4 linked regions of the Pelodiscus sinensis genome follow. The protein of the gene in region 3 binds, or shares a complex with, the protein of the main gene of each other region. Links are inferred from orthologs where the notes say so. Each region holds a gene or a part of one and is shown on either strand. Other genes may lie near its edges. The genes, in order: ACAD9, ECSIT, NDUFAF1 and TMEM186.

Region 1 (7,389 bases), on a different chromosome or scaffold from region 3:
TAAATTATTCTTCTATTTCACTTTTCTCTTTGCACAAACCACAAAAAGAGAAATTGACAATGCAAGGGGACACAGTCACTGTATACACAAGTCACGATAAATGCCCAAAAGTTTTTTTATTTTAATTATAGTAATAAGAAGCCATTTATGTAGAAAAAAAGATAATAACCATACCTTCTTCATTGAAGAACTTTTCTACTGGTCCTACAAACTGGTTGATTTCTTCTAATTCTTCATTAGAAATCTCTGGATAAGGGAAAACTTCCTCCTAAAATGTCAGTTTTTTAATATGATTAAGTTTATTTAAAATAAAGAGCAGGTTCAAGAAAAAACACATGGCTTTTAGATGATGATGTCTTAAAAAAAAAAAACCCAAAAGAGCAGAAAATGTTTACAGGAATTCAGATAGTCTCAAGTGAGCAAACTTATTTACAACTTTCAGTAAGTGAAAGATACTTGTTCTGTATGGAAAACAGTATTTTTCAATTATATTGCATGCTGAAACAAACCAGAAACAGCATCTGAAAATGAAAAACTGGAATGAAGAAAAAAAATTTGATATGTAAGGAAGTGCGCCAACAGGTGAAGTGAGCTATGAACAAGTGCACTGCTTTCATCCCCAAAGGCACACAACTATTAACAAACAATCAAAAGTTTAACATGTGCCTCTGTTGCTGCCTGTCCAACAGTTCACTGAAATGTGGAACTGAAAGTGACCATACAAAAATCCTCCTTTACATACATCGGAGAGTAATTTATTTTTTATTTATATATAAATAATAATTTAAAAAAATCCTTACACAACTTGTTTCCTAACAATTGAAACGAACAAAAATTGAAGTGCAAAGCATGGTTGTACACCCAAATGTGATAACTCAGCAGTACAGAATCCAGGATCTTTGGACCTTGCACAATCTCCATAGAATACAGGATAACTTCTATAGGAAAAAAGTCTCAGAGGGATAGTTGTGTTAGTCTGTAATTAAAAAAAAAAAACAATGAATGGTCCTGTAGAAGCTTAGACACTAACCAAAAAAATAAAAGATCATATCATCAGATGGAGTGGGTTGTGCCCACAAAAGCTCATCATACTATACTATCTATATTTCTGGTTTGTCTCTAAGCTGCTACTGGACCATTCATTGTTTAAGTTTCTATAGGAAAGAAACTCAAATTTCAGAATGATTTCAACCTGTAAAAAGATACTGCTCTACTATTTGCTAAGCATCTAAAACAGGAGAAGGGAACCTCCAGTCTACCCAAGTCGCAAAATGGAATCCTCTCCTGCACCCCACCACCTCCCTCTGAGACTCTGCATCTAGACCCCAACCCTCTACTCCAGATTGGAACCCCCTTCTATACGCTATGTCCTGCCCACAACACAACCTTCTGCTCCAGCCCCGAGCCCCACTCTCACACCCTGAGCCCCTTGTTTTTGACCCCAGGCCTCCATGGGGCTGGAGCTATGAGAACCTGATCACCCTGCTGCAGTGGGAAGACCCAAGTCTCCCCCCACCCCTCCATGTTGATTTTTTCTGTGGGTCACTGGCCTCTGACAGGAAAAAGATCCTCCAGCCCTGCTCTAAACTATTCTTGACACTATAAATTGCAGACTATAAACAAAAGAATAGAGTCCCAAATTTCATAATATTACAATTTACATGACATAATAAAAGCATATGGAATATTTCACTGGTAAAAGGCGACCTCCACTTTGCTTTTTTTTTTTCTTTTTACATATAAACTCATTCCTTATAAATCCCATTACAGAACTGCTTTTTTTTATGAAGGACACAGATGAAGAAAGGCAGGTAGGATGGCAAATTAAACTGGGGAGAAAGTTCCATATAAAAGGGGAAGCCCCAGTCAATTGCACAGAGGTGCCAATCTAAGGAAACTATGAACACTGTAGCACAGGTGAAGAAAAAAATATGGTAACAGATTTAAGACCAGGGCACAGATATAAACCAGGATGAAATTGTGAAAGACTCTGAATTCAGACGGAACGAATTGGCGTCCCTGTGGACGACCTCAGGGATTAGGGTTGCCAGACGGTTTCAACAAAAATACTGGACGCACCTGACATTAAATCGCAACGTGCATGACACGTGATTTAGAAGATACGTTTCTATTTTCCCAATTTGTTTCCCAGACGAGGAAGCTCAAATACTGGAGTGTCGGGTTCAAAGCCAGGCACCTGGCAGCCCTGGCAGCGACCCAGAGGCGGGAAAGACACGTGCAGATGGACGGAGGCGGCAGCTCAGTGGATCCCCCCCCCCCCCCCCATGTGTGTGTAAACACGGAAGAGATTCAGCGGTGACATGTTTGTCCTCCCATAAACGCGTTTTAAGAGCCCGCCCACCAAGCAGCAGCTTCGCTCCGGAGCGTCCTGTAGCGGGGCGGGGAGGGGAGGGGAGCGCCCCAGAGGCCTGGCCCAGGCAGTGCGGGGAGGGGAGGGGAGGGGAGCGCCCCAGCGGCCTGGCCCAGGCAGTGCGGGGAGGGGAGGGGAGGGGAGCGCCCCAGAGGCCTGGCCCAGGCAGTGCGGGGAGGGGAGGGGAGGGGAGCGCCCCAGCGGCCTGGCCCAGGCAGTGCGGGGAGGGGAGGGGAGGGGAGCGCCCCAGAGGCCTGGCCCAGGCAGTGCGGGGAGGGGAGGGGAGGGGAGCGCCCCAGCGGCCTGGCCCAGGCAGTGCGGGGAGGGGAGGGGAGGGGAGCGCCCCAGCGGCCTGGCCCAGGCAGTGCGGGGAGGGGAGGGAGGCGAGGCCCGGGGGAGGCTCCCCAGAGGCTGGGCACACACGGGGGGGGGGGAGGGGCGGAAGTCCGGCCTCACCTTCCAGAGCTTCCCGAGGAAAAGCTCCTTGGCGTAGGCGCAGCGGGGGCCGCCAGTGCGCAGCTGCCGAGCCCCGGCGGGGAAGGCGGCGCGCGCCGCCCGCAGCAGGAGGCTGAGGCCGCTCATGTCCGGACGGTGCTGAGACACCCCCCCCCCGCCGCGGCCCGGCGCCCACAAACGTCGTCCGGGGCGCACGCTGATGACGTGTCCGGCGGGTCACCTGACCACAGGCGGCCGACGGAGCCTGAAGCGGGTCTCCTGCGCCAAACGGCTCCCTGCTGAGCCCATCCGCGCCCCCTGCTGGCCGCCGCCTGCCTGTCCCTTAGCTGCCTTCTGTGCCCGTCCCGCCCTGAGCCTGGGCACAGCTGCCCTGGGCCTGCTCTCTGCAGCCCCACCACCCCTCTGGCCCCTGTGGCTCTGCCCCGGGGTGATCAGATCCCAGGGCTGTGTCGACACTGGGCCACTTATTCCGGAAAATCAGCCGCTTTTCCGGAATAAGCTGCGAGCTGTCTGCACTGGCTGCTTGAATTTCCGGAAAAGCAACGACGCTCTACTGTACAAAATCAGCCGCTATTCCGGAAAAACTATTCTGCTCCCGCTCGGGCATAAGTCCTTATTCCAGAGCACTGTTCCGGAAAAGGGCCAGTGTAGACAGCCCAGTAGTCTTTTCCAGAAAAAAGCCCCGATCGCGAAAATGGCGATCGGGGCTCTTTTCCGGAAAAGCGCGTCTACATTGGCCACAGACGCTTTTCCGGAAAAAGGGCTTTTCCAGAAAAGCAGCCTGCCAATGTAGACGCTCCTTTTCCGGAAAAACTGAAAACGGAATAGTATTCCGTTTTAAGCAGTTCCGGAAATTCATGCCAGTGTAGACACAGCCCAGTTGTCTTGTCTCGCTCTGCCTTTCCCCAGTGCTGCTTAGGGCTGGTTGCCCGATGGTTTCAATGAAAGTACAGGACACACTTAATGACATCGCAATCTACATGACATCTTATTTAGAAAATACCAGACGTTTATATTTTCTCAATTTGTTTCCCAAACAGAAAGCTCAAATATTGGACTGTCCAGTTCAAAACTAGACACCTGACAACCCTAGGTATGCCCTGTTCAAAGTACCCCTACTAGGCTGCTTGGTCCCTCTTCCTCCAGAACTAGAGCAAAGATAAACACTCACTGCATAGCAGCCCTTTTATACAGCCCAGCTGGGCTGTGATTGGCTGCATCAAACCTCCTTCCAGTTGGCTTCTAAGACAGCCCTCTCCCACAGTTTTTTTTAAAATCCCTTATAAACCAGAACAGAGCAACTGCCCCATTTCAGTCCCATACCTGAAATGCTGATCTTTTTCTGGACGTGCAGCCCCAAACTGAAAATGGAAGTTTATATGCTCCAGCCCTGCGTTTGCCACAACTCTCAGTTTTGGCACCCCATTTAAGGTCACTCTATCCTATAATCTTGATGTCATTTTGCACTGGCTTTCAGGAAAAAAGATACAACATTCTCTCTTTTTTTGCTTAAGTAGTCTCTCCTCACCTTAAAGTAATTATTAAGAAGAAAAAGTGATGTGATAGATGTTAGAAAACTTTTAACTTGAAATCTATGACCTCCATCACTTTATCTCACTTCTCTTTAAACTCTGTTCTAGTTCTAGCCTTCACAGCCTCCTGCAGCAAGGAGTTCCACAGGTTGACTCTTTGCTTTGTGAAGAACAACTTTCTGTTACTAGTTTGAAGCCTGCTACCCATTCCTTTCCTTTGGTGTCCTCTAGTCCTTCTTTATGGGAACTAATGAAGAACTTTTCTTGATGCACCCTCTCCACCCCACTCATGCGTTTATAGACCTCTACCCTATCCCCCCTCAGTCTCCTCTTTTCTAAATTGAAAAGTCCCAGTCTCTTTAGCCTCTCTTCATATGGGACCTGTTCCAAACCTCTGATCATTTTAGTTGCCCTCCCCTCTCCTACCCTCTCTCTTCCCCTCTCCCACCTCCTTTTCCCAGTCTTCCTGAGTTTTGTTCAATAAAGAGAGATTCTATTTTTGACCACACGTGTCCTTTATTTTGTACATCAGGAAGGGGGGCTAAGGAAGGGTAAGTGGAAGGAGGTGAGGGAGGAATGGGGTACGAGCCCCCGATGGGGAGGACTGGGCTGGCTCTGCGGGCTTCTGGGGGTGGAAGCTCTCCTGCAGCCCCCCAATTGCCCCCTCTCCCCAGATGGCTACCTGCGGCAAGTGCAGCCAGGCTGATGGCCGAGTGCTGTGATGTGCCCAGTGTGGGTACTCCGGGCAATCCAAGCCAGGACTGCTTTGCAAGTCCGGGGTGGGGGTCGGGTCCCTTTAAGCACAGCCCTTGGCTAGCCTGAGGCAGCAGCTCCACGCTCTAAGTCCTCATCTGATGCCCTGCCGGCACTGCTTCCGGCCATCCTTAACCCCGGTTCAGGGTCCACTTAATGTGGACATGCTAGTTCGAATTAGCAAAACGCTAATTCGAACTAGTTTTTAGTCTGGATCCGTTAGTTCGAATTAGCTTAGTTCGAATTAACTAATTCGAACTAAGTTAGTTCGAATTAGCGCCGTAGTGTAGACATACCCTACGAGTCTATGAGAATTGACAACTTTTTTTCTCCATTTTTTCCTCTTCTCTTTCCGTCCCCATCCCCTCTTTTTTTGCTATTTATTTGCAACCCGGACTCCTTTACTCCATTCATCTGAAGAAGTGGGTTGTACCCACAAAAGCTCATGATGCCATCTACAATTTTTGTTAGTCTCTAAGGCTATGTCTAGACTGCAGGCTTCTTTTGGAAGAAGCTTTTCTGGAAGAGATCTTCCGAAAAAAATTCTTCCGAAGGAAAGCATCCACATTGCCAAAGCGCATCGAAAAAGTGATCTGCTTTTCGAAAGATAACAAGCATACTGAATGGACGCTCTCTCATGTGTAACCTGTGATTACTATGGGAGGAATGGCCAGCAGGAAGCCTGTGTTTTTTCCTCTTTCATCTTCTGGTGAAAGAACTCCCTCTTCCCCGTCCACACATGCTTTTTTCTGAATGATCTCTTTCGGAAAAAGGTTTCTTCCTCGTAGAAAGAGGTTTACCAATGTTGGAAAAAACCCTCAGTTCTTTCAATTTTTTTTTGAAAAAATGTGATTGCAGTATGGACATAATTGAAGTTTTTTCAGAAAATCTGCGATTTTTCTGAAAAAACTCTGTAGTGTAGACATATCCCAAGGTGCTGCAGGGCTATTGGCTGTTTTTTAAGTTTTTTCAGGGTAAGGGATTTCACTTTCTATAGCTATTCTTTTTTACATAAATATGAAGATAATACAGGATTTAGGGTCCCGGTAAGAATCTGAAGTGCTGTAGCTTTCTGGGAATGGCTCATTTCAGCCAAGGTCAACCCACCTGTGCTTATATGCACCAGCCACAAATCAGAAAAGTATCATTATTCTGGACAACACTTCAGCAACTTAAAGGCACTCCTGAACCTGGCCCTGAATTTGTCATTGCTTGAAGAGAAGCTGGTGTTTTCAAATGTTTGTGTTTTGAACAATTCTGTTACATTCGCAGTAATAAAGCAACAAGACACCACTATGGTAGAATTTCCACACATAAGGAAGGGAAGCACATAAGGAAGGAGCTTTGTGGCAAAGCAGGTGTCTTGAAAACCTTGGGGTGAAAGCTGGACTTCTACTCACTACCATTGAGTCAAGATTTCATCCATGCTAGTGATTTCACACTGGCGTAAGTCAGGAGTAACCTCACTGAAGGCAGTGGAATGACATAGGTATAAAACTTGTGTAAACAAGATCAAAACCAAGCCATTGCTTTTAAGTCTGTAGTGGTAGATAAGGCTAAAGTAAGAAAGAAAAGGAGAGGACAGAAAGGAGAATGGAAGATCATTGTTAGTACAGAAAAATAAGTGATATCAACATTATAAGGAAATGACACCATAACTCATCAACTAAGGCCAGTATTCAGTAGCCAGTGTTATTTATTTGTTTAGTGTGGAGTTGAATGTTTTAAGAACATATGTGAAGTTTGCAAGCAGTTTTTTTTTAATTTAGTTTAGAGAAAGTAAAATTTCAATTCAAGCCATAGCAACTTCAAACAATCCACTTGTTAAAAGATGCAGGCTAAAAGCTATCCGGATCTTAGTGTTCCTGAGGCCTGGAGTATACTCTGTCATTTACAAATATATATGAGATGGAAAATAACAGGGAAATATTGTATAAGCTATGTTTTCTTCTTTATCATTCCTATCTGCTTTTGGCATATGAGATAGGAAAGTGGGGTTGATAGGCCATAGCCAATGTGTTTCAGAGTAACAGTGCATGTCTAGGTAACGGTGCGCAAAACCAGTGTTACTGGGTAACAGTGCATGTCTGGGTAATGGTGCATGTAACCAGATTGTTACTGGGTAATAGTGCATGTCTGTGTTGCTGGGTAATGGTGCATTACGTCTTCATTCAAAGCTACTTTATAATAGGAATGAATTAATTACCTGATTCTTCTGGTCTGTTGTGATTGAAGCAGCTGCATATTGATTGCTCGTGCTGTTGCTTCAGATAAAAA
Region 2 (7,810 bases), on a different chromosome or scaffold from region 3:
TGGAGCAGCAGGAACTTCGTCTGGTTGTCGGGCATGATGCCTGCGTACGTTGGGAGGGAGACGAGGTGGAGATGGCACATTCACCCGCCCTCGCCACGGAGTAGGGATGCACACGGGCGACCCTCTCTCCCCTCCGTGCAAGGCTGCTGACGCCAAACCCGCGAGGGCTCAGGAGCTGGGAGTCAGCAGGTTCGCATCCGGCAGGGGGAGAGAGGAGGGCTGCTGGCAGGCTGGGAGCCAGCAGCCACCTTCCTCTCCCCTCCCCAGGCTGCCAATTCCCAGCCCAAATAGACCTGGGGGGAGCAACTGGGGGCAGATCCATGGGGCCCGGGGGGGAGGCCAGGGGGGCAGATCCATGGGGGAGCTGTGCCTTGCAGGGGGGAGTGATACAGGGGGTTCTGTAGGGATGGTGTCCCAGGGGGTGAGTGGGGGAACCAGATCCATGGGGTGGTCTGTGCCCCAGGAGGTGGACAGATCCATGTAGGGGGAGCCGGGGTGTGTGTCCCAGGAGCGGGTGTTGGGAGCAGCTGTTGGTTCAGGGAATAGAACCCTGGAAGGCTGACCCTCCCCCCCCCACACACACACACACACACACTAACCACTAGATCGTGCTCCCTCCCGGGGGTTGCTGGGTTGCCTGGGGGGAAGGAGAGGGGGGGCAGGAGAGACAGTGCTGTGGGGAGTGGGGAAGCCTCCCTCGTGGCCCCACCCCCTTTCCCCAAAATTGCCAACAGCCCCCACCCCCGGTTAACCAGTCAACTAAACAAGTGGGATTTTACCTCCCAGCCATAGAGGGACAAACATGCCCCGTGCCGACTCGTGGAGACAGCGGTAGAGCCAGTGAATGTGCCGTCTCCATCGCTCACCCGCCTCTGACTCCCAGCCCAGCCCAGTCGCCCACACTGCTGCCCATCCCCATCCCTACCATAGTTCTCCATTTGCTCCAAGACGTGGATCCCACATTCCTGCTGCCTCGGGTAGTGGTTGAACATCCGCTGGATAAAATTGCGGGGCACAAACACTTCCTTGGGGAACACGTCCAGGATCTTGTTGTAGACGTCGAGCTCCCGCTCCACCCCAAACTGCGGCATCTTCTGGAGGGCCGCGTAGATGAACTCGATGTGACCTCGCCGCCGGACGTCCCTCTGGCAGAAGAGTTCCACCGCGCGCGTGAAGGCGGCTTTGTTCCGCTCCCCCTTGCAAGCCCGATCAAACAGCTCCTCCAAGGGCACCAGGGAGCCGTCACGGGACTCTCCATCTTTCTCCTGGTCCCCCTTGACTGCGGGGGTGAACTTGGAATGGCTCCGCACAGGCACCGGCCAGAAGCGCTAGCAGAGAAGCGGAGGCAAACAAGGCCTGTAGCAGCTGTCGTTTTACCTGGGGCTTAGAGTCCTCTGGCTGGGGTCAGGCCTGAGATCGGCACCACGCTGGCTGCAGCACCGTCCCCTTGGCTCTCGGGCGCTGGATCCTGGGTTCCAGGCCGGCTGCAGCGACCGGTACCACTCGCCGGCTGCTTAGCAGCCCATGTACAGTGACCCTGGCTTCTCCTGTCCACTGCACCGATCCATGGTGATGTCACTTGTATGGACAGGTACCGCTGCCCCCCCTTCTCTGCTTCCCGCTTCCCCCTCCCGCCCCCTACCTCATTTTCGCTCCCCCAGCTGCAGTGGGCGCTCAGCCCTTCCCACGATCATTTCCCGCCAGCCTCTGGGCAGCAAGGTTGGGGCAACCCAACAACAAGGGGGCAGAGAGGTTTACAAAGCTGCCCGAGGCGTCCGCCTGAGCCAGATTGCTTTGGACTGGCAGCTGCTCAGGGCAGCGCCCATGCAGAACGCGTCTCCCCCGGCGCCCAGCACCCTGGCCTGCCGAGGGACGCCTGGTACCTGGGCACAGCTGCTTCCCTGCAGCCGCAGGAGATCCAGCCCCGGAGCGAGCTGCCGCAGGACACCTGGTCTGGCAGAGAGCTCCCGGGCCAGGAGCAGCTTCCGCACACAGTTCATGGTGGGGTGTTTGTCCCACTGACACGGGGCAGGGGCCAGCTAGGGTGGGGCCACCGCTGCAGCTGGGAGAGTCAGTGTCATGGGGAAGGGGCAGCCATGCTGGGCGGCCAGGGTCTGCTTGACACAGAGAGAGGTGATGTAGAGATTGAAGCAGCGCAAAGGGTCAGGAAATCGGGGGGGGGGGGGGGGGGGGGACTAACACCTGTTCAGGCTGTCCCCACTCATGGCCACCATAGGAGTCCACACACGCCGCTTCTGTCTCCCTCCCCTCCCCCCTTACCTAGCTTCCCATTTATCCCCCGTGGGGAGACCACCCATCCCCCCAACATCCCCATCCCTGCCCACGTTTACTGCCCAGGTGCCCCCCAGCACCACACAGGCATGTCCCAGCCCCTGAACCCTCCTCCCCACCCCACACATCCCCCCACGCCCGGGCCATGCCCCCAGCCCCTGAACCCTCCTCCCCGCCCCACACATCCCCCCATGCCCGGGCCATGCCCCCAGCCCCTGAACCCTCCTCCCCACCCCACACATCCCCCCATGCCCGGGCCATGCCCCCAGCCCCTGAACCCTCCTCCCCACCCCACACATCCCCCCATGCCCGGGCCATGCCCCCCGCCCCCCCAAACCTCCTCCCCGCCCCACACATCCCCCCACGCCCGGGCCATGCCCCCCGCCCCCCCAAACCTCCCCCCCACCCCACACATCCCCCCACGCCCGGGCCATGCCCCCCGCCCCCCCCAAACCTCCCCCCCGCCCCACACATCCCCCCACGCCCGGGCCATGCCCCCCGCCCCCCCCAAACCTCCCCCCCGCCCCACACATCCCCCCACGCCCGGGCCATGCCCCCCCCCGCTTGGTTCCCGTCCACGCGCGCCCCGTGTCCGACCCGGGCTCCTCACCGCGCCGCCGTCTCCGCGGCCCCCTCCAATCCCTGCCGGGTCAGGGGGCGGGGCCAAGCACACGTGGCGCTTCTAAACCCCGCCCCCTCCCAGGCTCCTCCCCCGTCCGATCAGCCACGCCCCGGGCTGGGATAGAGTCATGCACGTGGGTCCTACTCCCCCACCGCAGGGAGCCCGGACCCCTGGGTCCCCTCACTCCCAGCGGCGGGGGGAGCCCGGCCTCCGGCCTCCTGCTCCCGGCTCCCCCGCGGAGAGGAAACGCCATTTGCTTGTTCCCATCACACTAGACGGCGGGGCCACCAAGTGAAGTGAATGGGCAGCAGGTTGAAAACAAACCAAAGGAAGTTTTTCTTCACTCAGCGCACAGTCAACCTGTGGAACTCCTCGCCTGAGGACGTGAAGGCCAGGACTTTACCAGGGCTCACAATAGAGATGGGTAGGGGTGGTGTCCCTAGCCTCTGTTTGTCTGGAAATGGGTGACAGCGGAGGGGGATAATTCCCTGGTGTGATCCCTCCCTCTGGGGCACCTGGGATCCACACTGTGGGCAGACAGGACACTGGGCTCTGACCCAGTGTGACTGTTCTTATGCTGTGTTTAAACGTTGGTTTCCCAGGCTGGGGTGAGGATGAATCCGAGCCTGGGAGCTGCCTAGCCAGGGCCATTCAGCCTCAGATGTGCCTGGACTGGCAGGTTCCCTGAGTCACTCAGGTAGGGCCAGGTGCAAATCCTCTCTCCCCACCCCACTCCACCCCACCTCACCCTCCAGGCATCTCTCATCCAGACTCTGGGGGAGGGAGACCGACCTGCAGGGAGGTTTGACAGAACCCACAGCCAGGCACAAGACTCTGTTATTATTTAAGTTCCTTCACCTCCATCCCCCAGATCAGGCCCCATTGTGTCAGGTGCTGTATAGACAGTCCCTGCCCCCACAGTGATGATCACTGTGAAGTCCGATCATTTCACAGATGGGCAAACTGAGGCACAGACATTACTCAGGGATTCTATAGCAGAGCCCGGAACTGAGGTCAGTTCAGGATGCGGCCCTGCCTTTGCCCCCCCCCACCCCTCCGACCCTGGATTCCCCTCCCCCACAGAAGGGACAGGGGCAGGGTTTGGAGACTGCTGAGGAGGCCTCCAACTCCAGCTTCATTAACAACACAGAGGACCATCATGTTCCTGCTTGATTTCCCCCCCAGTCCTGTTCTCTCCTTCGGGGCTGCTTGGCTCCATCCTCCCTCCCTCCCCCAAGCTGAGGCCCCTGTTGCTGTGCTAAACACCTGCCCTGCCCCTGCCCAGAGCTGGCTGCATCTCAGCACTGGGTATCTCTGCACGAACAGCCGCTGGGTCCCACCCCCTGGGTGACTGTACCTCTGGGCTGCATGAGCGATCCCAGGATAAAGACTCCACCCCAGAAGGAGCTGGATTGTGCAATCCCTTTGTGCAGGGCTTTGTAAGGCCTCCATCAGCGAGGGACTACGGGGACGCTGCCTGGGCAACCGAGGGAAGCAGCGGCTCCCTCTTTAAAGCACTGCACGCGCATGGCCCGGAGATGTGTGTATTGTCCCCATTGTGCAGATGGAGAAACTGGGGCACAAGGAGGGGCTGGGGCCTGTTTGTGGTCGCACGAGGGGGCAGTGTGAGAATGGAAACCCAGGCGGTGCTGGCCCTAACCACTAGACCCCATGCCCCTCTCAGCGCCAAGAATAGACCCAGAAGTTTGCCTCACAACCACCTGCTTTAACCACAGAGCAGCTGCGAGTTCAGGGGACAGCCCCGGGGTCCCCCCATCCTGGAGCTAGACCCCAGGCACCCTGGTCCTTAGCCCCACCCCCACCCCTCTCGGTGTCTGGCTCCCAGCCCCCCCTCATCTAACTGCTACACCCCACTGCCCTCCCCAGACAGTGCGAGCCCGCGGGGAGCGGACCCGCCCCTCACCTTCGAACCTGCCACCTGGCCGGCTCCCGCGGCGGGGGCGTGGCTAGCCCCAGAAGGGGCGTGTCCTGGGCCGGGATTGGTGGAGGCGGGGGGCGCTGGCCAGCCCCTCTGTCGGAGCCAGCAGCTGGGCGTGGGGCGGCTCTGGGCTGGGATGTGGCAGCTCCGCGGAACCGCCGCCTGGGTGGCCGCGGGTGCTCCGGGGTTCCGAGCAGCCGGCGCCCCTCGGCCGGGGGCAGCAGCGTCCCGGGTGAGTGGATCGTGCGAGCCTGGGGGTGGAGATCCCTGGGCGGGCTGTGACTTGGGGGGGACACGGAGCCGGGGGGGCTGTGACCTGGGGGAAGCAATTCGGGGCAGATCCATGGGGCCCGTGCCCGGGGGGGCAAGTGGGGGAGAGTCCGAGGGGGGCAGATCCATGGGGGAGCTGTGACTTGAGGGGGACACGGAGCCGGGGGGGCTGTGACCTGGGGGAAGCATTTCGGGGCAGATCCATGGGGCCCGTGCCCGGGGGGGCAAGTGGGGGAGAGTCCGAGGGGGGCAGATCCATGGGGAAGCTGTGTCTTGCGGGGGGGGGGGGGGGAGTGATTGACGGGTTCAATAGGAGCAGTGCCCCAGGGCGTGAGTGGAGGAACCAGATCCTTGGGGTGGTCTGTGCCCCAGGAGGTGGAGTTGGGGGGGGCAGATCCATGTAGAGGGAGCCAGGGGGGTGGGGGCTGTGCCCCAGGAGTGGGGGCTGGGAGCAGCTGTTGGTTCAGGGAATAGAACCCTGGAAAGCTGACCCCCTCACAACACTAACCACTAGATCCTGCTCCCTTCAGGGGTTGCTGGCTTGCCTGGGGGGAAGGAGATGGGGGCAGGACTGGCCCCACCCCCTTTCCCCAAAATTGTCATGCTGCATTGGGGAGACTGGGGCAAGACCCCATGAAATCAGGGCTCCTTTCCCATGGGGCTGCAGCATGCGCCCGGCAGACCCCACGGCGGCAGGGGGCTGCACCCGGCTGGCTGTTGAGCCCAGGCAGGGTTGGGCTGGGACAGCGGCTGCGAGTTTTGCCACTTTGTCAGTTGCCCACTTTGCTTCCTGGCCTGCCCAAATGCCAATCATTAACCCGGCGGCGGGGCGGGGCGGGCGCAGCGAGGAGAAGGTGGCAGGAGCTGGATTATTTAAGCCACATGCTCCACAGCGCTGGGGGTTTGAAACCTTGAATGGCTGAATGGGAGCATCTCCCCCACCCCCGCCTGTGCCCCGGGGCCACCCCGAAATCCCTTCCCTGCGCCCTGTGGTGCCCTCCTGTAACCCGCACTCCCACCCCCGGAGCTGGGATAGGGCCCTGGCGTCCGGCCCCCCGCTTAGGCCGATCGTGGCATTAGCCTATTTCCCCTCCCCCATTCATTCCAGATTTTGAAGTCAGCCACGTGACAGCCTGTGTGAGCCCCCCCCCCCCCCAGCCTAGCGTGAACCCAGAGATCTGGTGCTGGCAGCTGCACCCCGCAGGGCCTGGCCCAAGGGGCAGCAGCCTTTGTGACCCTGCTGTCCTGCAGCACCCTGGCCTGGCTCCGGCCCACAGCCGCTTTGTTCTCCAGCCTTGGCCGCTTGGCCTTGGCAGCGCAAGCAGGGGGCAATTTAACTGGAGAGCCTGTTCCTGTCGCCTCGCCCAGCCACGCGGTGCCTGCCCGCAGGCGCCTCGGTGGAGAAGGGACCTGCCCCAGCCCCTGCCCACCGAAGCGGGACCTGGAAAACCCAGCGCCCCCCACCCAGTGCTCTGCAAAACCTCAGGTAGCCACAGCCCCCTCCTAGCCTCCACTGCAGCACCGCCACTGGCTGGGCACCCCACCAATGCAACTGTTCCTCGCCGACTGGGCCATAGGCAGTCAGGCCTAGGGGTTGGAGCCACAGATCAGTGGCAGGCTCAGGCCTGGAGCAGGGATAATGGCAGCATCGGGGAGGGCTGCTGGGCTCAGAGCATGGCCCAGGATGCCAGGCGCTGACCATTTATTAGGTGCATTAGGGGCACTGGCAGGGCTGGGGGCAGGGCCAGGGCCAGGACCACCAGCACAGAACAAAGATGCCGTTCCTGCCCCAAAGACCTTCCAGGCCAGCCAATGCTGAGCCTAACCCCCAACCCCCAACCCTTCTCCCTCCCCTACCCCTAATGCTTAACCCCCAACCCCCAACCCTAACCCTTCCCTCTCCCCTAACGCCTTACCTCAACCCCTAACCCCCAACCCCTTCCCCCTCCCCTAACCCTAATGCCTTACCCCCAACCCTCTAACCCCCAACCCTTCTCCCTCCCCTACCCCTAATGCCTAACCCCCAACCCCCAAACCTACCCCTAACCCTTCCCTCTCCCCTAACCCTAATGCCTACCCCAGCCCTACCCCTAATCTTTCTCCGTCCCCTAATCCTAATCCCCAACCCTACTCCATCCCCTAACCCTAATGCCTAACCCTTAGCCCTAACCCCCAACCCTACCTACCTCTAGCCGCCAACCCTCAACCCTCCCCCTAGACTCCAACCCTCCCCTAACCCTAATGCCTAACCCCTAGCCCTAACCCACAATGCAACCCCTAACCCCTAGCCCTAACGCAATCCCTAATCCTAACCCTAACCGTTAACCCCTAATCCTCATGCCTAACCCCTAACCCTGACCCTAACCCCTAACTGTACCCAGGACTGCACCTGGCAGTGAACGGAAGCACGTATCGGCGTTGGTGGGATCAGGGCCGCAGTGCTGGACCAGAGGTGGAAGCAGGGAATGCGGGGGGAGGGGACAATGAGATGACGCTGCAGGCCACGCTGGACAGTGGGCTCAGCTCTACGCCATCATGCTCACGTGGTGCCCATCACTGTGGTATCTGGCCTGGTGGAGGAGGGCGGTGGGGTGAGTGAAATCAGGGCTGGGCACATCGGCGGATGAGGCTGGAGGTTTCCACGTTGGTTGTGGGGAACAGAGCAGCCCCCCCGGTGCCCCAGGGCA
Region 3 (7,752 bases):
TCCCTAAATAGCCCCCTCCAGGATTGAACTCACAACTGGGTTTAGCAGGCCAATGCTCAAACCACTGAGCTATACCTCCCTCAGTCTACCTACCATTATTAAGCATCACTCAGCCACCTCCATCCCTAACAGACCCACATTTGGACTAAGGATGTTAAGAAGCAGGTAACTGACTAATAGTGTTTGGATACAATTTGTATCGACAGCACGATTCATCCATAAGAGGAAGTGCGAGCCTGAGCTACTTCCTCTGCAGCTCTGCAGTTTAAATGTAGTAAGTCGGGCATGCAGGCTGCCCAGCTCCTATTACATTTAAAATTCAGAGCGACAGTGGAGGTAGGTCTGGGACCCAGCCCGAACTGGGACTGAGCAGTCCTGGATTGCATCGGGTCCTGGACTGCTGTGTTTCTGCCTTCCCCACTCCACCCCTCTGCAGTAGAGAGACGGTGCTGGGAGGAACTGGATTTTAAGCCATCCCCCATCCCCCAACACCAGCTCCTACTCCCCCCTTGCTGCCTCTGATACGGGGGAAAGCGAGTAGTGACTGAACTAGTCATTTACATCCCTAATTTGGACTAGCACCATAGAAGTGCCAGGAAGAGTTAAATTGTCTGAGTATTTAAGATGGCACATTGCATCCCAAAACCTGAGCCTCTGTCCCCCAACTCCTAGTATGACAATCTTTCCTTTAGAAGAAAAAAGGATGTTCTCTGTAATCTTTTTAGACTCTCCTCCCACTAACACACACATTCTTTTCCTTCTATTTCATATCCCTAATGTTCAAGGCCCCATATCTGAAATTATAATGGCTAACTAATATAAGTAAACTAGACTGGATTGCACTTGCTATAGCAATTGGCCCGACAATTTTAAAATATATTATTTCCTCTGAGATTCTAAGACAGGAAGATTTCAAGATAAATATTATCAAAGTGCCAATAAGATCCACATGATGGTTGTACTTGTTCTTTCCCCTTGGGAATTCTTAAATTACAAGTCCAACCTCCCTACCACAGAGTTTCTTCTGGGCATGGATGTTCCATATAATTCAAAGTTTAAAAAACTGTGTGGAACATAATTAGGACTCTTATTTCCAATCTTCTGTATTTGCTTATTCCCCAGTCCTTCTCAATTTTCCCTCTTTTCCCTTTTTACTTCTCCTTTCCTTGCAGTATCAGAAGCAGTGACATAGGAACAATGAGCTTAAGTACAGAAGCATTGTGCATGTGGCACTGACTGCATCAGGAAACTAGATCAGTTCTAACTAATTTGCCATTTGACCCTACTGTCAACTTCAGCACTAGCATTGTGCTAGTCCACAATAATTGTTGCTAGTTGTCCCACAGGAGTCTGCCACCTAATCAATTATATGTCCAGGCAGCCAGTAACAAACCAAAAATTAGAGAGCACTGCAGAAGAACACGCGTGTCAAGACAAGACAAAAGTGTTACTTATCCAGCACATAACTTGTGGGACAGTGGAGAAATAGATTGTAGCATTATCATTATCCTCATTTCCCATGTTTGCTTCTTGACAGACCAAGAGATGCATGTGATAGCCTCAAATCATTTTCAGGACAAGGAATTCCCACATTTCTGTTCAATCCAAGAATGGCTGGTAAGGAAAGCCCTCATGAAGTAAAGATCGTCCCTAAAATAAAATACAGCTACCAACTTAGAGAACTGTCAGTCCTAGCAATGTTATGTAGCCCTTCTGAAATGCAGTGAAGATTAATAATTTATCCTGGTCCCCCACAGGCTTTATCAATGATTTATCCTGGTCCCCCACAGGCTTTAGAGAGGGAGGATGGGCACGTATACTATTCATTCTATAAATACATGGCAGTTCTGAGTGATATCCACTTGTGCAAAAGCATGTAAAGATGAATCTAAGAGGCAGACTATTCATAAAGACTGCTATAAAACTTCGAGTCAGTTAAGTAGAAATGATTTGCAGAAGTTTTTGTAATTAAAATCTGAGTTCAGCACATAGATCAATGGAGGGCTCTTTTACTCTTTATCCAAAATATCACTGATGTTAAAACAAGAGAATTTTAAGCAATTTGACTAAAAACTCTTTGTCTCGAGGCCTCGGTTTTTACTCTTTTGACTTTTGTGATGCCGCCATTTCCCCAGTTTCCTGGTCACAATAGAATTTTCAGTGGAAGCAGGACCCACATTTCCAAAGTAAAACACAAGCACCGAAGGGGAAGGGTGAAAATACTATTTACAAAATAACAAAGTTTTGTCCTTCCCTATATAGATCACAGAGAAGTCAATCAGAACAAAAGTCCAATTTAATCTTCTTTGCGGGTTACCTTCAAAGTTTGTACGGGCAGGCACCCGCTGCCCAAAGTCTCTAGGTGCCGTCAGAGACCTCTGGAGAGCGGGAGATCTTCCGAATCTGCAGAAGCGTGTAGGGACGCGGCATTTGGCGACTATAAACAAGTGCACCCCCAGCCGCATAATCCCCCCGCATTCACCTCCCCCTTTCACGCACAAGCGCTCCCACCCCGCTCCCCTCTCATATGCGTTTTAAACTCTGCCCCTATGTGGGTGGGCGGCACGACACAGCAGCAAGCGGCTCCGCCATTTACCCGTGAGCGTCCAACGGCCCCATCGCTCCCAGGCCTGCCTGAACGCGGCTCTGCACCGTGTCACGACTGCGAGCAAGGGCGAGCGCCCGCCCGGCCCCACGCCAGCTCGCTGGAGGACGCCAGCCTGCGGGCGCTGGGTCGCTGCAAAGGGGAGACGGCCGAGGCCTGAGCCAGGAGCCTCCCCCCCAGACCAACCCCGCTCCCTTTGGCCGCCCGCTGCTCCCGAGCGAGCCTGTCCTGGGACCCCCGCCCTCCGTCTCACCTGACAGCGGACACCGCAGGCTTCCCCTCACCGCAACCGCTTAGCGACTGGGTCCGCCCCCATTCAGCCGCCGTCAGGGGAACTCCGGCCGTGTCTCAAAGGTTCCGCCTGGCCCTGAGGCGCTACAAAGCCTCGATGCTCACAGTTACACCCGGCGGATTCCCGCCTTAGACTGCTGCTTGGTCCCATGCTCGTCCGTGTCCATTCAAAATACAGCTCCCTTTGCCAGGAAGCAGTATTTCCTACTGGTTGGAGCAAGTGTAGGTGTGGGCTATTGTCCTAGCCAGTGGCACTTAGAACACTTACAGAGAGAGAATGAGTTTTTGCTACAGCCTTAGCTGGGAGCCTGCTTATGCACTAAATTCTAGAGATCATAGGTTTAGTTTTGCCTGTTACAAATAGGGGCTGGTCTGGGATTTCAGTTGTGCCTCTGAAGCCCAGAATCTGCTTCCCTAGGGGAAGTATGTAACCCAGACACCTTTTGGGTGTGGTGTTCTGTCTAATAGTGGCACTAACAGGGTTGCCAGGTGGCCGGTATTGAACCAGACAACCTGGTATTTGTACCTTTTGTCCGATAACAAAACTACTGGACATCTAAAAACAGACTTTTTTCCCAGTGCTTTTTGTTGGGGGGAGGGGAGGTTGGTATTTTTTGTGAAACCAGCTAATAACCCTAGGCACTTAGGGTACCGCTACACAGTAGAGTTAAAGTCAAGTTAAGCTATGCAACTTCAGCTATGTCAATTGTGAAGCTTAAGTTGAAATAGCATTGTCTACACAGCAGGAAGTCAAAGCAAGTACACTCTTCCTTCAACTTCCCTTACTCCTCATGAAATGAGGGTTACCACGAGTCAGAGTAAGAAGTCCTCCAGCTTGACATTATATCGAAATAAAGACTTCTAGTGTAGACGCACACTGTTATTTCAGAATAACATCAGTTATTCCAAAATAACACTACTGGGTACACATACTCTCTGAGAGAGAACAAATCAGTTTTCTCTACAGCCTTAGATAACAGCCAGCTAACTTTTAGTTCAAGTGGTATAGGGGATCATGCACTAAGCTCCCAAGAGCCCAGGTTCTGTTCCTCCTGTTGGCTTTACATAAGGGTTTGGGGATCAGCATTCCTGTTTTTTTGTCCCAATCAGCACCACTATCTCCAATGTGATCTTGAACAAGTCACTTGTGTACTTCAGGTTTTTCTTTCTTAAATGTTTCCTACCCCACAAAGAGCCAGGTAGTGGAGGTTAAATCTTTAATCCTTGCAAAGTGTTTTGAGATCTTCGGCTGAAATTTTTCATAAGATATGTCAGTGCATATGAGTGGTTAACACTGCCTGATACTCAGTACAGGCAAATTAACATTTCAAAGAAAGTGTCCAAAATAAAGACAGTCAGAGTTAACATTGTTTGGAGTACTATGTCTTTGGTACTTCCCAATAATTGTTGTTTGGGACTTTATAACATTACCTTACTGTTCCTGGCTTTCCAAGCTATTATTTAAATGTCAGTGAAATTTAAAGGGTTCACCTTAGGCTATATATTGATTTACAATCTTAACTATAATGATTCTTAATAACAACCATTAGTCCTTCCTTAGCTAAGCCTATATACAACTAAGAAAATGTCTTTACAACTACAGAGACAATGAGCTCCACACAAGTGGAACTTGTGTTTGTGCAGAGCCTCTTGAAGAATCAGGGGTGACCTCAGGAGCCAGTCTGGAGAGAAAAGTGAAGGTGTTCTATCCACAGATTTCTGATGAACAGTAGTGAAATAGTTTACTATGTTGTCATTTAAATTGTTGCTCTTAAATTTTAGCATCAACACCCCGTTCAGAATAATAAATAATTTTTACAGCACACTCAAAACCAAGTTTTTCTTTCCACAATCTCCACATGTAATGGACAAGTAAATAGACTTTGTTCAGAGAATATTAAGGTTTGAAAAAAAATGGTTTCTTCTCTCCCGGCCTGGCAACTTGCCACAAAAATGTCCTCAAATCATTGCAGGTAAACAATGGAACACAATTAAATTGTTAAATTATATTAGTGACTATTTTAAATCTCTATTTGCAGCCTTAGAAATGTCAAATTAGTCCTTCAGATAATCGGGTTTGCCAATTACACTAATTACAACAGGGCACAGTAATGCATGATTGGTTGGTACTGCTGTATATCTGCTCTCTAAAGATGTCAGAAACATGATGTGCATTTATCTGTACTTTTCTAACTCTAGTGTCAAGGAGTCTGAAGAAATATGTAAATCCTAAAGCTGCTGACACTTAGGTGAGAGTCTATTTTAGATCAAGTGAAGGTGACCTCTGCTTTTAGAACAGAAGGGTATAGTCTATTGTCCAGGGGCAAATCTTGAATTCTGTCTTATTTCTGATATGGTACCCATTATCATAGTATGATAGCTGAGCACCTCACTCAGTCAAAACTCTCTGAAGCCCATGGGAAATTCGCCTAGCTATAATCTCAGTGAGGACTTCAAGTTGTAGCCCCATATGTATGGCTATCTTGTTGTTTTGATCTGTGTATGTTCACGGTTAGCTGCAGCATATTAAAATGTGATTTTACTAAGTGTGCTGCAAACCCGCTTTTATGACTGAACTCATCCAAAGGGAGTCAGTTATAATTTAAAAACAACAATATACATGTTGCCCTCATTTCGGGACTGCTCACTCCTGCACTAATCATGCCAATGGGAGACAGATCGCTGAATTCCATATTTCAGCGGAAACAAATTCCAGCCCCTGAGCCCTAATCCCGAAATAGGCTCTGTCACATAATTCTTGCATCCCTCAGGAGGTCAATGGGGCTTTATACCCTAGGTGTCAGTGCTTACTATGCTATCTAGTCAATTTCAAACCTCGGTTCAAAGTAATTTCGAGTATTATATATACATACACCTTTGTCGTTTGCCCCACCTCCTCCCCCCGCACGCGCTTTCGCGACGTCACGATCACATTTTCCTGTGGTTTTAACGTTTCCTCTCCCCGGTTGCTGTATGAAAGCTCTACCCAGACACCGGGCCCCTCAGTGGGGTAGGGAAGGGCAGTGAACGTGTCTGCGCTCAGAGCGCTGCCCTGAGACACCAGCTCGCCCTTCCTGCAGAAGGAAGGAGAATGTATTTCTCCGCAATCCCTGTCGGCCGCAGTTACCCCGGGGGACCCGAGGCAGACGGCTCGGCCCCTACGATCCCACGGCGCCAGCTACGGGTGATACCGCGTCCCAGCCAGCAGCCCCGTACGGACACGTGCACCCAGCCCGGGCCCCGCCCCCTCGGCTAGTGGCTGCGGAGGCTCCGCCCCGGAGGGCGGGGCGACGCGGGGCGCATGCTCGGTGCCCTTTGTGTCCCGGGCGCTCGGGCGGCGCGGGGGAGGCCGAGCCGCTCTCAGTGCCGCACAGTCCGCGGGCCCCTCAGCGCGGCGGGGCCGGCTCCGCCATGGTGAAGAAGCGGAAAGGCCGGGTCCTCATCGACTCCGACACCGAGGACAGCGGCAGCGAGGAGAACCTGGATCAGGTGCGGAGCTGAGCGGGAGGCCGGGGCTGGGGCCTGGGCTCCCTGCTCGGAGCACACGGCTGGGCGCCACTGTGCCCCCGCCGGGGCCAGCCGGAGCTCGCCCCGCCCTGCCGGGGAAGGCCTCGGACCCGCCTCCCCGTGCGGGGATGGGGTCCTGATCGGCTTCCGGGCCCGGGGGAGAGACCCCCGGGCGTAACGCACAAGCAGCCCGCGGGTGCTGGTAGAAAACAGCCCGGCACCTGGGGCGGCGGGGGTAATAACAGACCCGCTAAAGCCCTGGGCACAGGTGTCAATTATGGTGCTAATCCCATGGGGGTAATCATACAAATCCATGGAAACCTTGGCATCGATTTGGACCAGGATGTGGGGCAGAGAGTAAATGTATGCGGCGGCGGTGTTGTTGTTCAGGCTCTGAGACGAGATCACTTGTAAAGTCCTCTCTGTCACCGCTAGTTTTACTTGCTAAGGAAAGGTGTTAGCGTGTTTTGTTTGGAAAGTGACGGTCTGAGGGTCACTTATGTGGTTAAAAGTTGGAGGGAGTTAGCTGCTCCATCACCCATTGGACCTGTAGTCCCTGGTGCTGTCTCTATAGGAGGAATGTCACTCAGTTGTTTATGTTTGTCAGATTTAGGGATCATGTGGCCTTTACCTATAGATATACCAAAAACGGCAAGAGCAAGTGGAATATACTTAAAGGAACAGTTAATTTTCTAATTATATTTCATATGTTAGGAGACCAATTAGGGGGAGATAAATACAGCCAGGTGCCTTCTCTCTACTGACCGTCCAGCACAGTATGCCTGTAGAGGGTCCAGATTGGCTACTGTGGGAATTATTAATACAAATTCATTAGTTTCCACTTAGCTTCAGTGATTGAATCTGGGGGGCTCAATTGGTGGGGGATTACTTGAGGTTAGGAGTCCAGAAATACTAATGATAATGTTTGACATCCCTAGAGGAACTTGAAAGATAAATATGATGCCTGGCATTAATTTAAGTGTGTGAGAACTTCAAAGAGAACATGGAAGTTAGACTCTATTTCTTGTACTCTGTGGAGGTGACTTTGTTCAAAAGACTTTCCATCTTTTTAATTATTCTTTAATAGTGTCTGGTGTTGTGATATGTAAAACTTATAAATTCTGTACAGTATATATTATAAATCATGTAGGGAAGTTCATCCCTTTGGGTATCTTGGCTAAATATTCTTAAGTATTCAGATGTGACGTGGATGCATGTACTTGGGTCATTAAGTGGTAACTTCATTAGAGAAGCTTTTGATGTGTTGGGAAATAAAACAGAAATGTAAATGAACTTTTGTTGCTTGGCGTTTTGGTAAAAGGATAAAGAAAGAACATTGCCTGGAGACT
Region 4 (7,670 bases), on a different chromosome or scaffold from region 3:
TGTCTACACTGGCACAGTTGCTTTTGCATAAAAGCATCCGTGCCAATGTAGATGCTCTCTTGTGCAAGAAAGCTCCAATGGCCATTTTAGCCATCAGGCTTTCTTGAGCAAGAAATTAAGCTGGCTGCCTATGCTGGCCCTCTTGCGCAAGAATACTTGCGCAAGAGGGCTTATCCCTGAGCGGGAGCATCGGAGTGTTTGCGCAAGAACCTCTGATTTTGTACATTACAAAGTCAGTGTTCTTGCACAAATACTCGCAGCCAGTGTAGATAGGTGGCAAGATTTTGCGCAAAAGTAGCCACTTTTGCGCAAAATCTTGCCAGTTTAGATGCAGCCATACTACTTCTGTAATCAGAACATTCTATAGCTGGAGAGGTGTTAGGCAAGATTTTCTCCTGTGAACTTTCATAATGCTATATGAACTGGTGCAGCTTTAAACAACTCCCTCGGTACAATAAGATTTGCTTGTGTTGACATTGTATGTCATCATGTGATAATAAAGGTAACCATTACACTTATTAAAATGCATACTGTGCTTTATAAATCTGCTGCATTACATGTCATTCTACAGCAATAAGCAACGTGAGAACTGAAGTCAGTTAGCACTTCATACAACTTTTTTTTAATTTGTGAAAAGTACAATCTACAGTACACAATCAAAACTAAGTCCGGTCAATGGAAGGATATTTTGAACTGATGTGCCATTTAGTTCCTTTGTGGGCACAGTTGCTGTTTAAAAATAACCATTTCCCTGCTGTCTTTGCAACCCAAATATTAAAATATTATGCCTAAGAAAATGAATGAGTTTCAATTTGTTAAATTGAAAAAAAAATCCAAATCAATCATAAGCACTGAAAATGCTTAAAATTCTTATTTACAATAACCTTAGATAGTGCCTGTAGCTCAGGGTAAGAAAATGTTTTTCAAGCTTCTGCAAATCTGTAATATACTTCTGTTCAGAATTTATCCTTTTCTCTATGTACACAAGTTAAAATGCCACAAGCCATTGCTGAATGCTGGACAAATCTTACTCTGAATCCCACTGACACTAAGTTTTGATCTGACAGAAGAATTGCTACAAAAAGTGAGAGGCATAGTTCCCGGTTACTGCTAGCCAAGGTCACAAGTGAGCAAGCGGTTCCACCTCATGACCATTTCTTGCACTAGTATAATCCTTACTTTGCAGTTCTACAGGAATAATTTGCAATTTCAATAACTTACTAACTTTACATGTTAATAGAAATTAAAATTTTCTTGATCAAAATTTGACAAATTGAAAGTGAAGTCTCACAAGAGATAGTAAAAATGCTGCTGTGGTTTCTATGGTTCTCTCTGATAGCAAGTTACATTTGCTCAGTTTTACCAATAAATTATTTTTAGCTGCTATCCTAGTCTGAAAGCACCATAAAAAAATACCCCACTACCTGCTAGCTCAACTGCACATTCAGGTGAACCAATTTTAAGTGCAAGTTACCAGACATGAGTATTATACTAGCTTTATTTACATAATAGTTGTGTGTGTGCAATGAGATTCAGCTTTCATCTGAAATTACTACACAGAAACTTCTGTCTAGTGGTTACTACATCAAGGTATGCCCTTTGTATAAACACAGGTGTGCATGCTGGCTGAGGATTTGTACGAAAAAAGGATGGTAATATTCCGGATTTGAGTATTTATACATCTATTAAACTATGCTCTGAATTCAGCATGAAGATCAATGGAAAATGTATTAGTAATATCCTCCAAATATTTGGTCAAACCTCTGTTTATCTACAATATGGCCAAACTTTAGAGTAAAATATAAAATGTGTGTACTATTATGCTGTTTAAACTGAAGCAGTACTTCGTTCTTGGCATCTCCAGTGTCACCCAAGGGCATCACAGTTTCAATTGGACAATAAATGACTTTCTTTTGACCCCAAAATGTCAAATGTGCCACTTTTACCATAGTGCCAACATCATTTAAGTATATCAGTCCAATCATTCGTCTGAAAAAATAACTTGTACCATACAGCATTGCAGCAGCAAAGCAAGCAATGCCAGTGACATACAACAGAAAATCCTGAGAAACTTGTTCCTGCAGATAGAGGTGATAGACTGGAGGGAGGGTGACTACGGTCAGAGCAGTCTGTAACAACTTCATTCTTGAAAATATTCGACAATATTTAATTCCTGGGAATTTGTAGACCAGTTTGAACTGTTCCGTGTCCTGGCTCGCAGGCTTTTCCGAGCCTCGGTTGGTGGGGGTTAAGCTACCGGCACATCTGTACTGTGCCAGCCCCGCCCGAGGATTGCCCGCTCGCCACCGCGGAGCCTGTAAGAACACAGGGGTCCCAAGCCAACGGGGGCGGCACCTGTCTCCTCTCTGCCACAGTCTGGCCGAAGGCTCCCGCGGCAAGGCGCGCCCACAGGGAGGCAGCGCGGAGCGGAGGCGAGTGCTGGTTTTGAAGACCGCGGCCTACAAGAGAAGGTTTCATGCCCGGTCTTCACACCTCGCACCGGCAGCCCCGCCCAGCGCGGGGCCCAGCCCGCCTGAAGCCGCAGCCCAACCTCGCCCCAAGGCAACGGGGAGCCCTCGCGCGCCGAGCGCCGGCCCGGGCCTGAGGCGCCCCCAGCACTAACACCGCGGCCAGGGAAGCGCGGCGCCCTCCTGCCCGCCCGCGCGCGCTGTACAGCGCCGAGCCCCGCCTCCGGGTGCCGCCCCCACCCGCCGTGGCACGAGCCGCGCGCCCAGCTAGGCCCGGCCTTACCATCCCGAGACAGAGACGTGGATCCAGGACCCAAGTGCCACCGCGCCTGCGCGGCGCTCGCGGGCCGCGTACGTCGGAGCTGCTGCGTTGCACCGTGGGAGGGGCCCGCAGGTGCCTTTCAGTCGAGCTGTTGGGCTCCCGGCATCCCCCGCGGCTGGGTCGCGCAGACCCGGAAGAGAGTGAGGCGCCCTCTCATTCATCCGCAGCATGGCGGCGCCGGGCAGCAGCGTCCTCTGCCTCTTCGACGTGGACGGGACCCTGACCGCGCCCCGGCAGGTGGGCCCAGGGCCGGGGGCGAGCGGGTGGAGCGCGTTGCGGCGGGAGGGACCCTGGGCTGCCAGAGCGGGCGGTTGCTGCCCGGCCGCCGGGCACGGAGAGCAGAGAGCCCCGCGAAGCCGCCGGGCTGTGTCCCCACGCAGGGGCTCTGGGGAGCTGCGGCCGGTCGCGTGCAGGGGGTGCCCGCTGGCCGTTGAGGGAGCTGGGGGCGGAGCCTGTTGCTGGCGTTTGGGGGGGACCTGGAACTTCCCTGGTTCTCGGGCTCAAGGAGCAGCGTTGCCACCTGTTAACCTGCGTGATCTGCGCGAGCCGCTCCCTCGCGCACGGGCGTTGCGCCGACTTACTGATGCCCCTGGGCTCCGGGTGGGGAGGGGCTGGCTCCGTGGGGGGCTTGTCCCCGAAGGCTCATCACAAGCCACTGCGGGTTTTTAACGTTTAGCAGTAGGGAGAACACTCCATTAGCGAGCCGGAGGCTATAGTGACTTCCTTGTTGTTTAAGGGATTTTGCCTTCCGGGAATATTTTCTCATAGACATTTTTAAAATTTTTCTTATATCGCTTCTTAAAACCCTGCAGAGTTTAGTTCTCAGTGACCTTTCTCCCACTGCACTGTATTTTAATTCAACTGGTACTCATGGTAAAAGTAGTTAACTACCTTAAAATATAAACTGTTTATTTAATCTAGAAAATCACAGCAGAAATGGCAGAATTTCTGCAGAAGCTACGAAAGAAGGTGAAAGTTGGAGTTGTAGGTGGTTCAGACTTTGAAAAAATTCAAGAGCAGCTGGGAGATGATGGTAAGAAAAAAAAAGATGTAGCAATCCAAGTTGAAACGAATTCCTTATGAGGAAGTTCTGATGGGTAAATACAATCCCTTTCTCCCAGAGTTGGTCACGTCATTTTTCATTAAATGCAAACTTCCTTATTCTGAATATGTTTCTCTGATTTTACTATATTACGCCGATTTCATGAAATGTTAGTTAAGATATATTTTAACAATCTTTATAAAATGGAGTTGTTTGTATCTCATTACATAGTTTATCTAATGTGCTCATCCACGCAAGAGCTGATTTTTATTAAATAGTGCCTTTGAGATCTGGTTCTTTCCCTTTTTTAACTCTGTGTAAGGTTTTTAATGTGAAAGATCAGTATTAATTGCCTTTCATAATTCACAATTATGCATTCCCAATATATACTGACAAACATTTTATATAATCATGGTTTTACTTGGCCTGGAAATGGCCTTCCGAAGTCATCTGATTTTTAGTTAGCAAGAGCCAGATACCCCCAAATCATCTCCAGCAGTATTACAATTATTGCAGATGTTCAAATAAGGATGTGATTTCACAGCTTTTCTTGAAGCAGAATATTTAGAATATGCCACAACTGATCCTATAGTGGTTTTTTTTTTACTTGAATCCCAAGGCTGAGTTTTAGTTTCAGTAGACGTATTATACAACTTGTAGAACAATAAATAGTAGTATTGTACATTAGGAATGTAACATTCCGATTAATCAGCTAATCAGGTAGTGGATATAATTTCCATCGATTAGCCTGTAAGGGGGGGCACTTGCTAACCTGTTGCATTTCAAAGGCAGAGGTGCAGTGGAGAACCTGTGCGAACAAAGACCGAATCAGTCCCCGCTCATGTGGGGTCCCGAGTGCTGCACCTGTCCCTTTGAAATGTGCAAGAGCCACCCATAGCCCTTGAACATTTCAAAGGGAGAGGCACAGCAGTCGGGACCCGCAGGAAGGGACTCTGCTGTTTCCCCTGCTGTGCCTCTGCCTCTCTTCAGCACTGGCTCCTGTTTCCCTCCTTCCCTTGCTGCAGAGGCAGCAAGGGAAGAGGAGCAAGTCGTGACTCGACTACCTGATAAGCCTATGCTTATCAGGTAGTCAACTAGTCACTTACATCCCTATTGTACATTTTCCTATTGAAACATAGTCCGTGGCACAGAAGAAGCCATTTGGATTTATCATTTTGGAACCATATTTTTGTCTCCTAATTCTACTTACATATTTCAAAGGAGACTTGATCCTGTAATTCAGTTTAAAACACACACATTTTTATCAAGTAGAATTGCATTAAAATAATCTCCCTCAAATAGTAAACTTTTCTTTGTCCTCTTATTGATTTTTATGTCCAGATTGTTGTTCCAAGGTTTTGCAATGGTGACTGGATCCATGGCAATTTACAACAGGGGTCGGCAATAATTTTTTCAGGAGGGGCACTTCATAAATTTTGGTATGTGGTGATAGGCTGGTTCCAGGGGCCCCTGGAAGCGGTGGAGTCTTGGGTGGAAGGGGTTGAGGTGGGGCTACAGAAAGAGACATTTTGTGTGAGAGAGACTGTGTGACAGATTGTGGCACAGACTGGGTGTGTGTGACAGTGACACAGAGCATGTGTGCTCGCTAAATTTCTGAGCAGCCACGCTCTGTCTCTTTAAGGAAATCTGTCTTGTCTCTCTTCCCCCTTCTGCTCTCCTCTGAATCACGCTTTAGAATGGAGCAGCTCTGCTGATTGAGTGTGTTATTCTACCCCTGCTCTGCAGAGACAAGGTACAGGGGCAGGGAGACAGCCTGACTTCAGCACTTCCCTCGCCCCTCCACCTGAGTTTGCCCACCCCTGGTTTACAATAGTAAAGCACAACTAAATGTGCTAAGGATAGAGTCAGATCCTTCATGCTAAATGTATGTAACTTAACTACTTGCTATTCTCATGGTGTAAGATCCCAGTGGCTTCAGAAGGAGGAACAAATAGAAATTGCAGAATTAGGTCCTTTAAGTTTTTCATCAGACATTACAAGTGTATAGCTTCTGCTTAATATTCTAAAATTATTATTATTCTAAAATTATTATATTTTGATGTATTTAGTACTGAAAAGGTTTGCATACAATGAAGGAAAGACAAGATATAAACTGCAGCATTTTTTGTTTGTGTTTTTAGTTGTTGAAAAGTTTGACTACATCTTTCCAGAAAATGGTCTAGTCTCATACAAAGATGGGGTGTTGTTGTGCAAGCAGGTATGTTTAATAGATCTTATAAACTAATTGATTATTGTAAGGCTAAAATCTTTCAAACAAGATTTTTATTCTCATAATTCTGCATGGAGAATTGCCTGTCTTGTTTTGCAGCTGCAGTGATCATTTAATAGTCTGAAATTATTGCTTTATATATAGAATTTTATTTGTACAATTGACAGTCCATCTCCTCTCTTAAATCTATAGATTGACGCAAGATGTAGAGCCAGATCCTTACCTCAGACCTCCTGGTTTGCCCTGCTCAAAACCTGGTAGATTTGACTAGAGAATTTTTCCAGCACGTAAAATTCCTGAGTGACATCTTTCCTACTCTCTGGCATGGGGGTCATGGCTGGAGACCTCTAGTGATGCCCACTCATGGAATTTCTATAACAATTGGGCCTCATTTAGAACACCTTTGAGGCTACTCTAAATTATAGCTGGTCCTTCACAGGCCTGAGACTTGGGAAGTGGAAAGGGTGGCTTAAAGCCATCTCCTTTCCTTGACCACCAGTGGAATGTACCCCCACTGCTGCTTAGGAGCTAGCACATAGGGTGGCCTTGATTGAGTAGAGTATTTTTATAAGCTGCTAGAAATAATTTAAGAGGCTGAGAAAATACTGGTGATTAAATCTAATATTGTGATAATCTTCAGTGCCTCAATTTAGCTATTGGAGAATGGAAAATAAAATAGCTCAGGACCTGACCCATATCTTAAGGTACCGGTTCCCAACTTATTTGGCAACTGTTTCCCGCACTTAATTAAGCTGTACTAGCCCCTATCTACTCCTTTCCATTTCAGCATGCATTTTCTAACCCACAGTGTGAAGTAGGGGCATGGAGGAGCATGTTATACTGAGAGATAGTGTTCGTGTAAGCTGAGTGCAGATCGCTCAAAGTGCCCACAGTCGGTAACATGTGTTTCTATTGGTAGTACAAAAAACAAAAATTATTCCACACATGGATTAGAGGGAACATTCGTGAGAAGTGGTCAGTTGTGCAGCATAGCATTTTATAATTAAGGTAGAGAACGGGAGCCTACAGTACCAGTACTGCACATACACTGAGAACCACGTACTTAAGACCTGGTTTTCTGGCATCTGCTATACACGAGAATCTAAAACCTGTATTGTCAATAAGTTACTTTCAGAATTCTGGATCTATAGTTGATATGTCTTTTTGTATGTTTAGAGCATTCAGAGTCATCTGGGTGAGGACTTGCTCCAAGATCTAATCAACTACTGTCTGAGTTACATTGCGAAGATTAAACTGCCAAAGAAAAGGTAGGTATATGTGCATGCATAACTTAGGGAAGAGAGTATTCCTGCTTTGGGGTATTGATCTTCAGTAGGGAAGACACTGTCCAGTCATGTTACAAATGAATGGATTGTGTTTGAGTACATACTGTATAATTGAGAGAGATGTATGCTATTGTTCAGCAATCCCATACAGAAAAAGACAAGCTCCACTATTGGAGCAAGTGAAGGATCATGGGTAAAGATTATGCAACGTTGCTCAACAGGGAATTGTTTATTCTCCATAAAACAAATTGTAATATAAAAATCTAGATGGACAGAACATTGGGTGCTCATTGGGATACCTCTTATTTTTATTCCTTATGAA

The links.
Region 1: NDUFAF1 (region 3) and ACAD9 share a complex: the UniProt entries of both Homo sapiens proteins name them as parts of the mitochondrial complex. The link is inferred for Pelodiscus sinensis from reciprocal best matches to the Homo sapiens genes NDUFAF1 and ACAD9.
Region 2: NDUFAF1 (region 3) and ECSIT share a complex: the UniProt entries of both Homo sapiens proteins name them as parts of the mitochondrial complex. The link is inferred for Pelodiscus sinensis from reciprocal best matches to the Homo sapiens genes NDUFAF1 and ECSIT.
Region 4: NDUFAF1 (region 3) and TMEM186 share a complex: the UniProt entries of both Homo sapiens proteins name them as parts of the mitochondrial complex. The link is inferred for Pelodiscus sinensis from reciprocal best matches to the Homo sapiens genes NDUFAF1 and TMEM186.

What each region holds. Positions count from the first base shown.
Region 1 is NC_134721.1:48,473,678-48,481,066, forward strand, and holds the start of ACAD9 (complex I assembly factor ACAD9, mitochondrial), read right to left. Parts: upstream 3,013-7,389; 5' UTR 2,954-3,012; coding exon 2,828-2,953; intron 269-2,827; coding exon 175-268; intron 1-174. UniProt on the Homo sapiens protein: As part of the MCIA complex, primarily participates in the assembly of the mitochondrial complex I and therefore plays a role in oxidative phosphorylation.
Region 2 is NC_134729.1:12,699,248-12,707,057, forward strand, and holds the start of ECSIT (evolutionarily conserved signaling intermediate in Toll pathway, mitochondrial), read right to left. Parts: upstream 3,008-7,810; 5' UTR 2,903-3,007; intron 2,324-2,902; exon of another isoform or gene 2,203-2,323; intron 2,115-2,202; 5' UTR 2,001-2,114; coding exon 1,884-2,000; intron 1,329-1,883; coding exon 926-1,328; intron 41-925; coding exon 1-40.
Region 3 is NC_134714.1:64,361,781-64,369,532, forward strand, and holds the start of NDUFAF1 (complex I intermediate-associated protein 30, mitochondrial), read right to left. Parts: upstream 3,016-7,752; 5' UTR 2,859-3,015; intron 2,851-2,858; exon of another isoform or gene 2,597-2,850; intron 2,404-2,596; exon of another isoform or gene 2,318-2,403; intron 1-2,317. Other genes in the region: RNA polymerase-associated protein RTF1 homolog, read left to right, coding at 6,308-6,385. UniProt on the Homo sapiens protein: As part of the MCIA complex, involved in the assembly of the mitochondrial complex I.
Region 4 is NC_134726.1:10,777,270-10,784,939, forward strand, and holds TMEM186 (transmembrane protein 186), read right to left. Parts: upstream 2,883-7,670; 5' UTR 2,755-2,882; coding exon 2,752-2,754; intron 2,460-2,751; coding exon 1,731-2,459; 3' UTR 516-1,730; downstream 1-515. Other genes in the region: PMM2 (phosphomannomutase 2), read left to right, coding at 2,959-3,027, 3,712-3,823, 5,974-6,050, 7,239-7,330. UniProt on the Homo sapiens protein: As part of the MCIA complex, required for efficient assembly of the mitochondrial complex I.